Pelodiscus sinensis: one gene and its partner. The protein of the gene in region 1 purifies or fractionates together with the protein of each later gene. This does not show direct contact. Links are inferred from orthologs where the notes say so. Each region holds a gene or a part of one and is shown on either strand. Other genes may lie near its edges.

What was found.
Region 2: the proteins of NPM1 (region 1) and NCL purify together in Homo sapiens (affinity purification with mass spectrometry; 8 studies listed by BioGRID and IntAct, counting the BioPlex papers as one, with this or other methods). This does not show direct contact. The link is inferred for Pelodiscus sinensis from reciprocal best matches to the Homo sapiens genes NPM1 and NCL.

Annotation. Positions count from the first base shown.
Region 1 is NC_134727.1:4,855,124-4,862,740, reverse strand, and holds the start of NPM1 (nucleophosmin), read left to right. Parts: upstream 1-4,603; 5' UTR 4,604-4,696; coding exon 4,697-4,760; intron 4,761-5,455; coding exon 5,456-5,535; intron 5,536-7,385; coding exon 7,386-7,505; intron 7,506-7,617. UniProt on the Homo sapiens protein: Involved in diverse cellular processes such as ribosome biogenesis, centrosome duplication, protein chaperoning, histone assembly, cell proliferation, and regulation of tumor suppressors p53/TP53 and ARF.
Region 2 is NC_134720.1:50,310,358-50,318,336, forward strand, and holds the start of NCL (nucleolin), read left to right. Parts: upstream 1-4,961; 5' UTR 4,962-5,078; coding exon 5,079-5,096; intron 5,097-6,103; coding exon 6,104-6,214; intron 6,215-7,786; coding exon 7,787-7,979. UniProt on the Homo sapiens protein: Nucleolin is the major nucleolar protein of growing eukaryotic cells. It is found associated with intranucleolar chromatin and pre-ribosomal particles. It induces chromatin decondensation by binding to histone H1.

The DNA.
Region 1 (7,617 bases):
TCTGTTTTATAGGCTCAACCTGGCAACATTAAATCTGTCAGAGCAGGGACTACAGGGCATCTCCACTATAAGTCGCCCCGGTATACATCTGTTCTGCAATAAGTCACGGAGGCTTGTAGGAATTGATGTATTATAAGTCCTCCCATTCCCTGCTCTTAAATCATGCAAAAAACCCAACAACCCACTTTAAGTTGTTTTGTTTTTTGGAACGTATCTTGGACTTAGGGCGAGTATGGCCTGTATAATAATACAGTTCTATGGTTAAAATACAAACCCTAATTTAAACAGGAACTAAGTTACTTTCAACTCCCATTTTCCTCTTCCTTGTACCTCAAGGGTACATCTACACTGCGGGGGTTTCCAGTATCCTGGAAAAACTCTGCTGCGTCCAGGGAACATGTTTACTTTTCCGCTTCTTTTTGCGGAAGTGCAAACGTGCTCTTTTGGAAGCCCTGTCTTCCATGAGGAAGAAGGGATCTTCTGAAAGAGGGGGATTCTCTGAAATTTGGCCCAGTGTAGATGGGCCAAATTTCAAAAAAGCCTCTTAAAAAAAATCAGAAAAAGCTGTAGTGTAGACCTAGCCTAAGTAAGTAGCTCCTTAAACATCATCTTCTGAAGTGAGAACTGATTTTTGGTTCTACGCTAGTCTACCTTACTCAATACTGCTTAGCAGGAGACTGGTAAGAGGGGAAAACAGGGACAGTTCCAGGCTTCCAGACCCAGAACAACCAACCTACCCACTTCTTGCCTTGTGCTAACAAATTCGAGGAGCACTTGCAGCCACATACTTGCCTTGGAGATGGCTAATCCTGAAAGTTAAAAACCCCTCAGTAATAGCCTCTTAAGGGCTAACATATTGAAAACTGAAGTTTACAATGCCTACAGGCAGGGGCAGATGACCATTTCGCGGGGTCCAGGGCAGCATAATTTCGCGGGGCCCCCCTTTGCCACGGCGCATGCATAGGGCTTCTTGAAGCACGGAGCCTGGGGCGGCTGCCCCGCTTGCCCTGCCCTATATCCGTCCCTGCCTACGGGACTTCACTCTGCATTCAATACATGTGTTCATGCCATGTTTGAATATTAATAATGTTTTTAAACTTCTCTGGGCAAAACTTAAGTTCTACCTGTAACTAACAAACAAACAAGCAAAGAAAACAACCAAGCATCATTGGTCAAAGGTATGAGAAGCACTCTGAACTGCTGGTAATATGGGGCACCAATGAATCCATCCACTGAAGCTGTGTCTGGGCTGTTTATAAGCACAATCAGCCTCAAGACCAGCTGAGTTGCAGCTGCTTTTGCGGAAAAACGTGCCAACTGTCTACACTGGCCGCTTGAATTTCCGCAAGAACACTGACGATCTCATGTAACATTGTCAGTGTTCTTGCGGAAATGCTATGCTGCTCCATTCGGGCAAAAGCCCTCTTGCGCAAATGCTTTTGCGCAAGAGGGCCAGTGTAGACAACGCAGTATTGTTTTGCGCAAAAAAGCCCCGATCGCGAAAATGGCTTTTTTGTGCAAAAGCGCGTCTTGATTGGCACCAACGCTTTTCTGCAAAAAGTGCTTTTGCGGAAAAGTGTCCATGCCAATCTACATGCTCTTTTCCGCAAATGCTTTTAACGGAAAAAGTTTTCCGTTAAAAGCATTTGCGGAAAATCATGCCAGTCTAGACGTAGCCCTGGAGTTTAGGTTCTTCAGCTTTCAAGAGACAGATTCTCTATCAGCAATGGCAATACAGTTATTTAGAAATGTTATATTTCCAGAACCAGCACCCCCTCGAACACCCTGACACACCTCCAAACCTCCCCCCAGAGCTAACACCCTCCTGGACTCCAAGCCCTAGCTCTGAACCCGCTCTCAGAATTAGCACCCCAAAACCCCACCTCAACCCTTAGCCCTCCCTCAGAGCCAGCACTTCATACCTAGAATTTTTGTTCAGTGTCCACCTCAATAGTACCCAAAAGCCAAGTATCCTGAGGAGTGGCAATCTCTCTTCCCCCTTTAAAAATAGCCTCTTTTGTTTTATTTCAATGTAATAAGTGTGTCCCTCACCCTTGCACCCCATTCACCTCCATGCAGTGCAGCACTCCCATTATGTCTGTGTACAGTGCAGCACTCCCTGTGCCCCCCATCCTCATTCATTTTTACAATTCAGTCACCTCCTGCATCCCCATCCACTTCACATACCCATCCTATTCCCTCTTCTCTTCTTCTCTTCCCCCTCTCACTCCCATCTTGGTCATGTCCTTGGGTTCTTTCACTTTCCATCCTCTCCTCCCTCTCCCTATCTTTTCTCCTCCAGTCCAGCGGGGTGGTTTATGCAACCCCTGGTTGTCCCACAATGGCAAAAGATTCCCTTATTCCTGATTTTAAGAGGAATAAGGGACCTTTTGGAAAAGGCTTTATTTTCCGAAAGATCCCCGTCTAGATGGTGCTTTTTTCTGGCAAGGCCCCGAGCCGGAAAAAAGTGGCAGCCATGTTTATACAAATGAAGCGGGGAAAATTTAAATCCCCGCTGCATTTGCAATTCCAACTTGTCTCATCTGCATCCCTTTTCCGGCCAATATGTTTGTTCCTCTAAAATAATAATACTGTCGCCCAGTAGAGACTTATGATTGAAGGAAAGAGAACTTTAATAATAGCTTTAAGCAGACTATGGAACTCAGTTCCAAATGAAATAAGAATGACTGAAAACCTCACTATGTTCAAAACTAAATACAACACATATCTCTTTGATTTAGCTAGCATTCCTTAAATTTCCTTAAATAGTGTTCCTTCTCTCTCTCTCACACACACACCATAAACCAAGCAACAATCTATATGTTAATATTTTCCTATGGAAAAAATAAAAAAAGGAAATTTTGTAGTGTTAATATGAGCTATGTTATGGGCTTTTGCTGGCACAGCTATGTCAGGCAGAGATGACATCTCATCACACCCCTGACATAGTCAGGCTGCCAAAAGCTGGCCGTGCAGACCTGACTCAAGTGTTATAGTTGCAAAATATGTGAGTTTTCAGAAGGCCAGGAATACGTCTGAGACTGCGATCAGCCCCATTCATCTTAGTGAGGTGTTAACTCAGAGTCCCATATTGGTAATTTGAATGTGAACATTTTAACTGCTTCATTCCTCATGACAGGCCTTATCTGTCCAGTGACACCTCTTGAATAATATTGATTTATTTAAAACAGTAGGGTCATCTTAGGGCAGACACATTATAGTCCCTTGGCTATATCGACATTATACTTACTCGAAGGCAAACGTTCTCTCATTACACCATGACCCCTTCTGACAATAAATAATGCTACGTGATGCCAGGGCGGGGGCAAACCAAAGCCTGAGCCCCACAGCCCTGGGCAGTGGGTGGAGGAGGCAAAGCCGGAGGCCCACTGTCCTGGGAGGAGGGGAAAAGCCCAAGCACTTCAGCCTCGGGTGATTGTTCCCAGGGATGGCTTTTGGTGCACATGGCAGCATAGGGCGTGTGCATCTCCAGGTGGATCACATGGAAGAGCCACACTTGCTCAACAGAGAACAGTGGGTCCAGCTTGCAACCTGAGCCTTACCAGGGACAGCTGCAGCCCTGGGACCTGTGGCTCAGTCTTTAGCCCCAGCAAGTCTAACGCCAGCCCAAGCAGCCAGGCTGTGTCTACACTGGGCCACTTATTCCGGAAAATCAGCCACTTTTCCGGAATAAGCTGCGAGCTGTCTACACTGGCCCTTGAATTTCCGGAAAAGCAACGACGCTCTACTGTACAAAATCAGCCGCTATTCCGGAAAAACTATTCTGCTCCCACTCGGGCATAAGTCCTTATTCCGGAACACTGTTCCGGAAAAGGGCCAGTGTAGACAGCCCAGTAGTCTTTTCCGGAAAAAAGCCCCGATCGCGAAAATGGCAATCGGGGCTCTTTTCCGGAAAAGCGCGTCTACATTGGCCACAGACGCTTTTCCGGAAAAAAAGCTTTTCCGGAAAAGCAGCCTGCCAATGTAGACGCTCCTTTTCTGGAAAAACTGAAAACGGAATAGTATTCCGTTTTAAGCAGTTCCGGAAATTCATGCCAGTGTAGACACAGCCCCAGTGTTCCCTGTAAACCATGTGCCCGTGCGACTGCTCAGGAGACATTCAAATGCTGATTTGCAGCGTGGGCGTGCACAGCTGGGTGTTGTTTCTGGTGGTGGTGCACATTGGCACATGCCTTAGTGCACAGACACATTTTATTCCACACACGATGGAAAAAAATCCGCACGTGGACGCACTGGAGGGCGCGTTGGTGGCCACCCACTTTGGGGTCCCCAAGCACTGGGAGGAGCAGGGCTCCCCGGCGACGTCACACCGTGGGGTGAAGGGGTCTGGGTGAAGGGCCTGTTTAATTGCAGCACAGACATGGGGGGGGGGAGGGGCGCTCGCCGCCATTTTGAACACACGGCGCCCCTCTCCCCCTTGGCCGGGGTGGGAGGGGGCAGAGCTCGCGAGAGCTCACGCGGCCGGGCAGGAGCACGCGAGCGAGGCCGGCGCAGGCGCTCGGGGGTCGCGTGGCCGCGGCGGCGGGGGAAATCCCGGGGAAGGGGCGGGGCTGGAGGGCGCAGCTCTCGCGAGAGCGCCGAGACTATATATGGGAGTGGGCGGGGAGCAGGCGTCCCTTAGTGCGATTCCGTCCGGAGCGCTGCCGCTGCCCGCCGGAGGAGCAGGCCCGAGAGCATGGAGGACAGCAGCATGGACATGGAGAGCATGGGCCCCCTGCGCCCCCAGACCTTCCTCTTCGGTAACCCCCCCTCGCCGCCCCACCTCGCCGCGCGCGGCCGCCCGCCTCGTGCGTGTGGCGCAGCCGCTTGGGCCCAGGCCGCGCGCGGGCTTGTCGCGCGCGCTCCAGAGGCCGGGCTGTGAGGTGGGGGCGCGCGACCAGGCTTGGCGGGCCTGAGGGAGGGGGGGGGGTGGCGGGGATGGCTCTAGGGGCGGGCTCCCCCGCCCCACGTGGCGCGCGCTGGCACGTGGCGCCTGCTGCGGCCTCCAGCTCCTGGCAGGGCCCGGCGCTTTGTTCTCTCCCCTCCCCCCTCCGAATGCCGCGGCGGCCGTTGGTTCCTAGGGACGCGCCTGGGGCGCACGTGGCAGCGCGTGGAAGGGCCGCGTCCGCTCGGCAGAGCACGCGCTGGGGTGACCCTGGGGGCGCGTATTTACCACGTGATCCCCCGGCCAGCCCGCGAGACCCTTTGCAGCTGGTGCAGGTCGCCCTCGGGCCCCGTGGGTGACCCACTGGGCGGGCCACGTGCTCTGGCCGCGGGGAGCTGCGGTACCCAGACTGCGCCGGCTGCTTTCCGCTGCTCAGGCTGGGGTGTGGCCTGCGGAGGCGTCTGCGTTTTGCACCCGCGTGCAGACTTCTGAAACGCGGGCTGGGGATGCTGCGGAAGCGGAGAGACGCAGCGTTTCATCGCCAACCTACTCGCCCTGTGTCTCTTGCAGGTTGTGAGCTAAAAGCAGATAAGGACTTTCATTTCAAGGTGGATGATGAGGAAAACGAACACCAGCTGTCACTGAGAACAGTAAGTCCTTGTCTCAGGAAACGCACGTGGGAGAGCTGCAAGAATGGTTTTCCCCTTTCCCAATGGTGGGCAGCAATACATGTGAATAACTGAATTATTCTCCCAGCCTGTCCTGCTGTGTTCAGCATGGAATTCTGTGTCTCTTTGTGTTTTGGTGCTGCATCGTGACATTTATAAAAAAAACTATTATACTACTATAAAAAGTAATTTGGGGTCACTGTAAAATTATATGAAACTTTTCTATTCTGTCTGTAATTTTTACTAGCTTTTCTTCATAATTTTTGAAGTCGTCAACAGTAATTGCCTAAGAACCCTTGTTTTGTGAAGATGAAGAGAAACCAACATTTAAAATAAACATATATTCTAGATTGGTACAGAGGAACTCTGTTTTGGAAAAGTGAAAGGGATTTGTAATACAAACTGAGTATTTATTATATCTTTCTCCACTTCTAAAATAAAACACCCAGATGTTGAGCTTAAATATTTTGTTACTAAGCAATTTGTTCACTTATTTGCCAGTCGCACAATTCAGTATTTTCCATTGTAAGACTTGATGTAGTACAACTTCACTTTTGCCCCATAGCAGGGTGAAGGGATTTAAATCACTGATTTTAATCATGACAAGCAAGGAACCACAATTTAAATACACAGTTTTAATTGTGGGTTTATAAAGATGTTGATTTTCAATTTATGAAAATATTTTGATTTGCAACTACATACATTCTTGTTTTTGATGTTTTATGCTAGCCAGGTTACACTATATATACAGACTTATTTAAGCTATTAAATAGCATAACGTATGTTAGAAAATGGTGAATGCTGCGTTTCTCTATTAGATTCTCATGCTATATTTTAATAGAAATGCAAAATAAAATACACAAAACAACTTTTTTAACTTTATTTAATAAAACTTGTTGGTACATATGAAAACAAAAAGTTTGCTGCATTCCTCACTCTGACTGGGGAGTGCTTTGCTCCTTCCGAAAGGGGAAAGAGCAAGCAGCCCTGGTACAGATTTTGGAGGATAGGCTTTTACCTACATAAACACACAAACCCCATCTCACTCCTGCACACGCCCCAAATTCCCAGCCCTCTGCTTTGAGTCCCTCCTTAAGGAGCCAAGCAACACCAGGTAAATGTGCTAGTGTACTATAATGTCCTGCTCAGATGAACATATATGTTCATTACTAGAACAATGTTTCTCATAATAAATGAGCATGGTTTCCCTGGAATCAAATGTATTTTAAGTCAAGGATGATCTAAGAAAGTTCACAGTAAAAAATACTGTCTTAAGTTTCTGTATCTGCGACTGTTTTGCTACAATCCTAACAGTAGGAAAAGGTATTGCCTCTAATGCAGTTAGCGTGGGATAAAAAACTATTGTTCTACATACACAAACTTCTAGCAGCTAAGGTTACATGTACAAAAGCAAAAAAGGCCACTTGCCAGCAGCATGCCTGCCTCCTAGCCACACTTCAACACTGATCACATTAACTGCATGAGTATGGAGGAATGACAGCCTTCACTTCGAGCAGCATCACTATGGAGAATTTGTTCTGAAGTATTCAACATTCATAATATGATGTTTCATAATTTAACAGATAGTAATTTATTAGTACATAGTAAGTTTTTAAAGAGTAGCCTGTCCCTTAAATGTTACAAGGTCAATATAAAAAAAAGCTACAGAACATAGTAAAACATAAACAAGAAATGTCATACAAGATAAAAATATTAAACTCATGAATGTATTGAAGATGTATTTGAATGTAAAAGTTTATCGTAATAATTTTACAAGTTAGAATGGTGGTTCAGCTTTTCAGAAAGGATAATATATTTCACTTCTTGCATAGGTTAGTTTGGGTGCTGGTGTCAAAGATGAATTGCATGTCATAGAAGCTGAGGCATTGGACTATGAAGGGAACCCTATTAAGGTCACACTGGCATCTTTGAAAATGTCAGTACAGCCTACGGTAAGGACAAGCCTGTACATTACCACTTCACACCAAAGTTTATTAATAATAGTCTCACTAAGACATACTAACACAGTGGAAATCATAGTAAAGCAAATCCTTGTTTCTCACG
Region 2 (7,979 bases), on another chromosome or scaffold:
CTGGGTTGTCGCAGGCAGAGGCTGCTCCGGTTGTCTTGGCCGCAGCCGGCCTGGGCGCAACAACCGAAGCCCCGACTGCAATGCACCTGGGCCCACCACAGATAGGGCTGGGCAGAAACAGCTCCTGCCTGCATCTGAGGGGGATGAGGGGAGGCACAGGAAGGGACTGCCCTGGCAAGGCTACAGCAGCTCCGACCCAGGCACCCCCCACCTGTCCCTCTTTAATCAATTAACCAGTTAAACATGGTTGACTGGTTAACCAATGAAATGGGATTTTACATCCCTAGCACAGACATGGGCAAATGATAGTCAACATTTTGTCAGTTAGTTCAGGAGAAAATCTACTGGCCTCCCGGTCTACCCACCACTTGCAACATGATGCTTGCTTTGACCACGGCTTGTCCTTTTGTGCCCTGTTGAGTCAGACGTGGCCAGCAGCAGGCCCTCTACCATAATTAAAAACATTGTTAGACACAATTTAGTGTTCTAGTAAAGACAAGCCTGTGCTGAATTACAGTTTTGCCCTTTTCCATCCGCTGTAAATCCCCAGAAAGAATAAAATAATAGCGACAAGAAAAGTGAGAAATTCTTTCCCCTTCATCTCAAGGGAATGTTAACTATGCTCACAGCTTCTCTGCATTTGTCAGCTCAAGCAACTCGTGGGTTATGAAGATCTGCCTCCTGCCTTATATTTTGGGCCAAAAAACCAGTTTTTATGATTTTTAAATTAAAAATAGAGGTTCTGACGCCTCCTCCTGGAAAACCCTGAGTGAGAGATTTAAACTCCAGCCCCTTGCAGATTTAGCTGATTTGCATGTCAGGCAGATGCAATCTTCCTTTTTCTGTCACACTCTCTACTTACATGTTGAGTTGGTTAAAGTTGTTACATTGCAGCCTTCCGGTACAGAGTGGGCGGGGAATTAATGCCACAGAGATGGAGAATATAGTGACTAATACGTCCTAGGGAATTGTGATGTCACAGAAAATGAAGTGATAGGTGCCACTGACAGAAGGTGTTGTAAGGATATGTCTACACTTCCAGATAGGGGTGACATTTTATAGATTAAGCTGTTTGAGACGGGGATTGCTTCTCACTGGCTACGTCTACACTGGCCCCTTTTCCGGAAGGGGCATGTAAATTTCACTAGTCGTCGTAGGGAAATCCGCGGGGGATTTAAATATCCCCCGCGGCATTTAAATAAAAATGTCCGCCGCTTTTTTCCGGCTTTTAAAAAAGCCGGAAAAGAGCGTCTAGACTGGCCCCGATCCTCTGGAAAAAGTGCCCTTTTCCGGAGGCTCTTATTCCTACTTTGAATAAGAAATAAGAGGAAGTAGGAATAAGAGCCTCTGGAAAAGGGCACTTTTTCCGGAGGATCGGGGCCAGTCTAGACGCTCTTTTCCGGCTTTTTTAAAAGCCGGAAAAAAGCGGCGGACATTTTTATTTAAATGCCGCGGGGGATATTTAAATCCCCCGCGGATTTCCCTACGACGACTAGTGAAATTTACATGCCCCTTCCGGAAAAGGGGCCAGTGTAGACGTAGCCACTCTGTTTGAAGAATGCCATGCCTAATGGGCTCTCGACAGTGTTGTCAGCTAAAATGTACTGGATTTATACAGGTTGCACTGTGAAATCTTAGCTGTTTTGTACAGAATAGGATCTACCAACAGCAAAGATTATTTAGTGTGTATAATGGAATCTGTCATCTGCATGTAAAGAGATGACTAAGGAGGGTCCATGATAGAGTTTTATAAAAGCATGACTGGTGTGGAAAAAATGAATAAAGAACTGTTATTTTCTCTTTTCCATAACACAAGAACTAGGCGGTTGCCAAATGAAATTAATAGGTAACAGGTTTAAAACAAACCATGAAGTTTTTCTTCACTGTCAACCTGTGGAACTCCCTGCCAGAGGACGTTGCGAAGACCAGGACTTTAACAGGGTTCAGAAAAGAGCTAGATAAATTCATGGAGGTTAGGCCCATCAATGGCTATTAGCCAGGATGGGTAGGAATGGTGTCCCAAGCCTCTGTTTGTCAGAAGCTAGGAATGGGTGACAAGGGATGGGTTTATGAAGGGGATGGTTTGATGACATAACATGATCTTGGTAACTAATTGACCTTTCACTATCAATGGTAAATTGGCCAATGGAGGGATGATAGGAGTTACCCAGGAAAGGTTCTCTATAGTATCTGGCTGGTGAGTCTTGCCCACATGCTCAGGGTTTAGCTGATCGCCATATTTGGGGTCGGGAAGGAATTTTCCTTCAGGGTACATTGGCAGAGGCCCTGGAGGTTTTTCACCTTCTTCTGTAGCATGGGACACGGATCACTTGCTGGAAGATTCTCTGCATCTTGGGGGTCTTTAAACCATATCTGAGATATAGGTGAGCGGATTATTTCAGGAGTGGGTGGGTGAGATTGTGTAGCCTGCGTTGTGCAGGGGGTCAGACTAGATGATCATAATGGTCCCTTCTGACCTTAAAAGCCTATGGCTGCGTCTAGACTGGCATGATTTTGCGGAAATACTTTTAACAGAAAAGTTTTTCCGTTAAAAGTATTTCCACAAAAGCGCATCTAGATTGGTATGGATGCTTTTGCACAAAAAGTACTTTTGCACAAAAGCATCCGTGGCCAGTCTAGACGCGATTTTGCGCAACAAAGCCCCGATCGCCATTTTAGCCATCGGGGCTTTTTTGCTCAAAACAGTTCTTCCCTGTCTACACTGGCCCGCTTGCACAAGTATTCTTACACAAGAGGGCTTTTTCCCGAGTGGGCGTGGGAAAGTATTTGTGCAAAAAGCACTGATTTTGTACATTACAAAGTCAGCGCTCCTGCGCAAATTCAAGCGGCCAGTGTAGACAGCTTGCCAGTCTAGAGGCACCCTAGACAAAATCTTGCCAGTCTAGAGGCACCCTCCAAGTCTATGAGGGATAAATCACTGGTCTGTTCATTCCCTTTGGGGCACCTGGCATTGGCCACTGTCAGAAGACAGGACACTGGGCTAGATGGGCCTTTGGTCTAGGCGTTCTTATGTGCCACGGCTCTTACTTTTTATGCCATCTAAATTCAAGATTGCACAGGGTGGTGAGTGTGATAGGCAGGGGGCGGCCATCACTGCCTTCCACCTGGTTCATGGATGCACCGTCTCTTCCCCAAGACCCTAACCTCCTGCTGTAGCTGTGCTTCCTGGTGAGTTTTCCTCATTTACTCTATTGCTCCCTCCCCCCCATCCCTTCCTCAGTAAGTCCCCACCACTTGCTGTGTCCCTCTTCTCCGCCACATGCTCCATCCCCGCTGTGCCAGGGGTGAGGAGGGAAGTGGCAGGCAGCACGTGAGGAAGCGAGCAGTGGGGGGAGGAGTGAGAAGGATGTGGTGAGCAGCAGCAGCAGGAGTGAAGCACGGAGGCTGGGGGGGGACGGGACCTGAGGTGGAGTGTGGACAGGGTCAGTAATGCTATGGTGAAGACTGGACACGGAGCTAGCCTCCCCCAGGGGAAGCGTCACCCACTGCCCATGCAAAATTATCTCACTTGCCATTGGAAGTGAGCATAACCCACAGTCTGGCCTGTGTTCCGCAGGTATGTCTATACATACTGCAAGTGACAGTGTGATTTGTAGCACTGGTAACCAAAGACAGTAAAGCACACATGGAGGCTGTGTCTCGACTGGTCAGTTTTTCCAGAAAATCAGCAGCTTTTCCGGAAAAACTTGCCAGTTGTCTACACTGGCCGCTTGAATTTCCGCAAAAGCACTGACTTCCTACTGTAAGAAATCAGTGCTTTTTGTGGAAATACTATGCTGCTCCCGTTCGAGCAAAAGTCCCTTTTGCGCAAAAAGGCCAGTGTAGACAGCTGAGATTAGTTTTGCGCAAAAAAGCCCCGATCACGAACATGGCGATCAGAGCTTTTTTGTGCAAAAGCGCGTCTAGATTGGCCTAAAAGTGCTTTTGCGGAAAAGCGTCCGTGCCAATCTAGACGCTCTGTTCCGAACATGCTTTTAACGGAAAACTTTTCCGTTAAAAGCATTTCCGGAAAATCATGACAGTCTAGACATGACAGTCTACCGTAGCCGGACAGTGGTGGCAAAGGCTTCATCACAGACTAGCCTAGCTGGGCAGCCTGGGTATGCATTCTGATTGCTAACTTGTGCCACTGTTACCTAAACTAGATTAAAACTAGCACAGGAATGCACTGTACTACAACTACATCTTCACTTGCATTGTTGACTTACCCCTCCAAAGAACAAGATAGAAACAGAGTACTGAGGAGCAAGATGGATAAAGAAGGAAGGGAAAAGATAAGGAAGAAAATTGGGAGAGAGAAAATAGGTTAATCTTAAACTCTCACAAACCAAAACAAAGGGGGGAGTCCTTATCCAAAGTCAAGATTTGACCCTGATTATATGTGAGGAACTTTGCTACTGTAAGGAACCCAGATACCATGGTGATGGGCAGTAGCATAAAAGAGTGTAGATCACTAAGAAACCTCCCTCTCTAAGTCATCAGCAGCGCAAATCGCCCTGTCCTAGTCCCTGGGCGGGGGTTCCTATGCAGCCACATGCCCCTAGGGTTGGGTTGATCGCCGGCCCCAGGCTCTTCCTGTCTCCCCCCATTTCCCCCGCCATGGGGTAAGGACCCGACCCCTGTGCTCGCAGCGTGAAGTCCCAGACGCACGTGGTTCCCCCAGAGCCACGTGCTGCGCCCTTCCTTTTTCCCCATCCCCTCCCCCATCCGAACCCCATCCGCGCGCAGCCGCCTATTGGCTATATTGCCCCTCCTCCCCAACGGGCAGGACCTCTCGCTGTAACGCGCGCTCCCATTGGCCGGTGGCAAGCCCGCGCGGATTGGTGTGAATGCCCCCCCCTCGGAGCTCGGCGATTGGGCGGGCGTGCGGAGCTAAGCGCGACGCGCGTAGGGGTTGGCCGAGCGGGACCATGGGGGGCGGAGCGAAGCATAAGCAAGGGGGGAGGCTGGGGGAGGGGCGGCGCTCACTCTTTCACTTCAGCGCAGCACACAGTCGAGTCGCTGCTCCCGCCGCCGCCTGTCGCACCCGGATCGGCCCGCGCCGCCCCGCCGCCATCATGGTAAAGATCGCCAAGGTGAGGCCCGCGGCGCGCGCCAGGCCCGGGGGCCCCGCGGCCGTTAGGCCCCAGCGCGGCGAGCCGAAGGCCCGGGCGGACTCGGCCAGGCCCCAGCCCGGAGGGGGGAGGGAAGAGGCCGCTTGGCGCGGGGGTTTCGGGACTCCCTGAGGGGGGGGATGGTGCCTCCCCCCTCCCCCGTTAGGTTTGGTGCGGTCCGCGCCGCTGCGTTCGGGGCGGTTTCTAGGCCCCTCTACGGCCGTTGGGGGGGGGGGGGGGGAGTTGTTTCTAGGCTCCCCCTCGGGGCTCGCGGCGGAAGCCAGAGGGTCGGCGCGCGCGCGCTGGGGAGAGGAGGGGGGCGGAGCCGGAGGCGCGCGCTGCCGGATGGGAAGGCCTCAGGCTGCGTGGGGCGGCCACGTGGTGTCCCCGGCGCGGCGAGCACGCGGCGCGGCCTGTCCCGCGTGGTTCCAGGCCCTTTGTGGCGCCCGGCGCTTGCGAGGCCCCGGCTGCACGAGCCGCGATAGGGGGCGGGCTTGGCCCTGTCTGAAGGGGGGGGGGGGGGCAGCGTGTCTATACACCAGGGATTCCCCCCCCCCTCTCCATCCACTGTCTCATTAAAGCTCTGCGCCTGCGCGCACACCGCAGCCTCGGCGGGTTTGCGCTCCGCGTGGCTTATTCCCCCCCCCCCCCCCCCCCCGCAGGAGTTGGTCCAGTAAAAAAATAATTTCTGCAGTCGCCCTGTGGCTCGTGAGCAGGCGTGTCACGTGGTGTGGGAAGCGCCTGGGCCCCTAATGCGGGGGACACAGGCCAGCAGGTTCCTAGGTTTGATGTGGACGTGCAGGGGTGCCCCCCCCCCCTCCCGTTGTAATCAACCACTTGCAAGGCCGGTTTGGAAGCAGTTTTGCGAAAAAGTCAAAATGGATCTTGACTTAAAGTGTTTTATGGCTTTGGGGTACTTTACGTTTAAAAAAATATATTTCTCTACAATGGAAGCTTAAGTGGGTGACCTCTCATGTGCGTTCTTCCAGAGTCCGAAGAATCAAGCCAAACAGAAGAAAGTGGCTCCTCCCCCCCCAAAAGATGTAGATGATAGCGAGGAGGAGGAGTCCTCCGAGGAAGAAGACAGCAGTGAGGAAGAGGTGATCATTTTACATCTGGATTCTAGCTTGCTATATGTTACTTTGGGAATTGGGATGTCGACACGTAGTTAACTAAACAATTAACTAAAAAGCCTAAGTTTACCAAAATGCAGGACAATGTAGCACTTTAAAGACTAACAAGGTGGTTTATTAGATGATGAGCTTTCGTGGGCCAGACCCACTTCCTCAGATCAAATAGTGGAAGAAAGTAGTCACAACCATATATACCAAAGGATACAATTAAAAAAAAAAAAAAAAGTTTACCAGTTCATCCTGTCAGCTACATGTGGCGCCCCTCCTCTTCTCCCCCCCCCCCCCCCCCCCGGCCTTTGTTACGAAGCAGAGGCAGTTCTGTAGGGAATTCGGATCTCCCCACAGACAGGGGTTGCTGCTGCTCTGCACTTTTGCCCCCATATCAGACAGTAAGGGGGGGGGGCAAAGTGGCACGGGGGCTGCCCAGGTGTGGGGCTGGAGTGCTCTGGATACCGGCTCCACCCCAGGGACTATCGAATAGTCATGTATCTGCTTAAAAAAATGATGCCATTACGCAACTATTCAGTTACACGTTACTGAAAATTAATCATTTGAGAAACACAACTCAGAAGCCTTCACTGAATGAAATAGAGGAATAAATAGATTGAGACAGTGACTTCAAATGTAGCACTGTAAAGCTTTGAGTGTATTGAGGGAACACTTCAGTGAACTAATTATTTTCCAATTTGTTCTTTTCCCATAAAGCTAGGGGAGAATACTGGGATGTAAAAGCTTATCCGGTAAGCCTCATCTGTAACGGCTGAGGTTTATTAGTTCCGGTTAACTGGTGGGGGCTGGAGCACCTTCCCGCCTATCCAGGACAGGGAGCTGTGCCAGGACCACCGGAGCAAGTGCTGTCCATGGCGGTTCCCACCCCCTGCAGCTTACACGATGGCTCCCAGGAGCAGGGCTGGCAACAGAGCCTTCTCCCTGGGAGTGGGACCAGCAGCAGTTTCTGCTGGCTCCACTCCAAGGGAGGCTTTGCTTGGGCTTTGCAATATAAGTTTTATATCGCAGTGCATGCAGCACATGTAATTCATTATTTTTAGTGGCTATGGGTTCACATTTTTACATCCCTCGAATACTCAAGAGTTGCTAGCTATGGGTATTTTATCACAAACAAAGTAGCTGTTAGTAAGGGTACCTGGTAATACTCAGCGCTTACCAAGCACTTTTAATATTGGTTTCTCTTTGCACTTGCTAACCCCACCACCACAAGAGGTCCAAGATGTGGAGGGAAGCGGCGGGGGGTGGGTGATGCAGAAACAGGCATAGGTGTGGCACAAGTTCATATGTAACAGGGAGATTTATATTTTATATGTAAATGAAGGACAGTCGTTTAGTCCGTGGTGAGCCGCCAAGGTGGCTCTATGGTATAGTCATTGGCCCTCTTTCTAGGTGCTCCAGTAGAAGAGCTAGCTTGCTGAATGGTTGTGGTGGATAGGTGGTTGTGGTGGGATGGGTAGTGATATCATTCATTAGCTGAACAATCAATTTAGGAGTTGCGTATGCTCATTGGATTTGTCTTGTTTCCCTAAGGGTGTTCCTCAGAAGAAGGTGGTAACCCCAAAAGCAGCAGCTACACCTGGCAAAAAGGCTGCCACTCCGGCCAAGAAGGCAGTTGCCACTCCAGCCAAGAAGGCAGTTGCTACACAAGCCAAGAAAGCAGTTCCCACTCCAGCCAAAGGAGCTAAAAATGGAAAAAATGCAAAGAAAAAAGTGATGGAAGAGG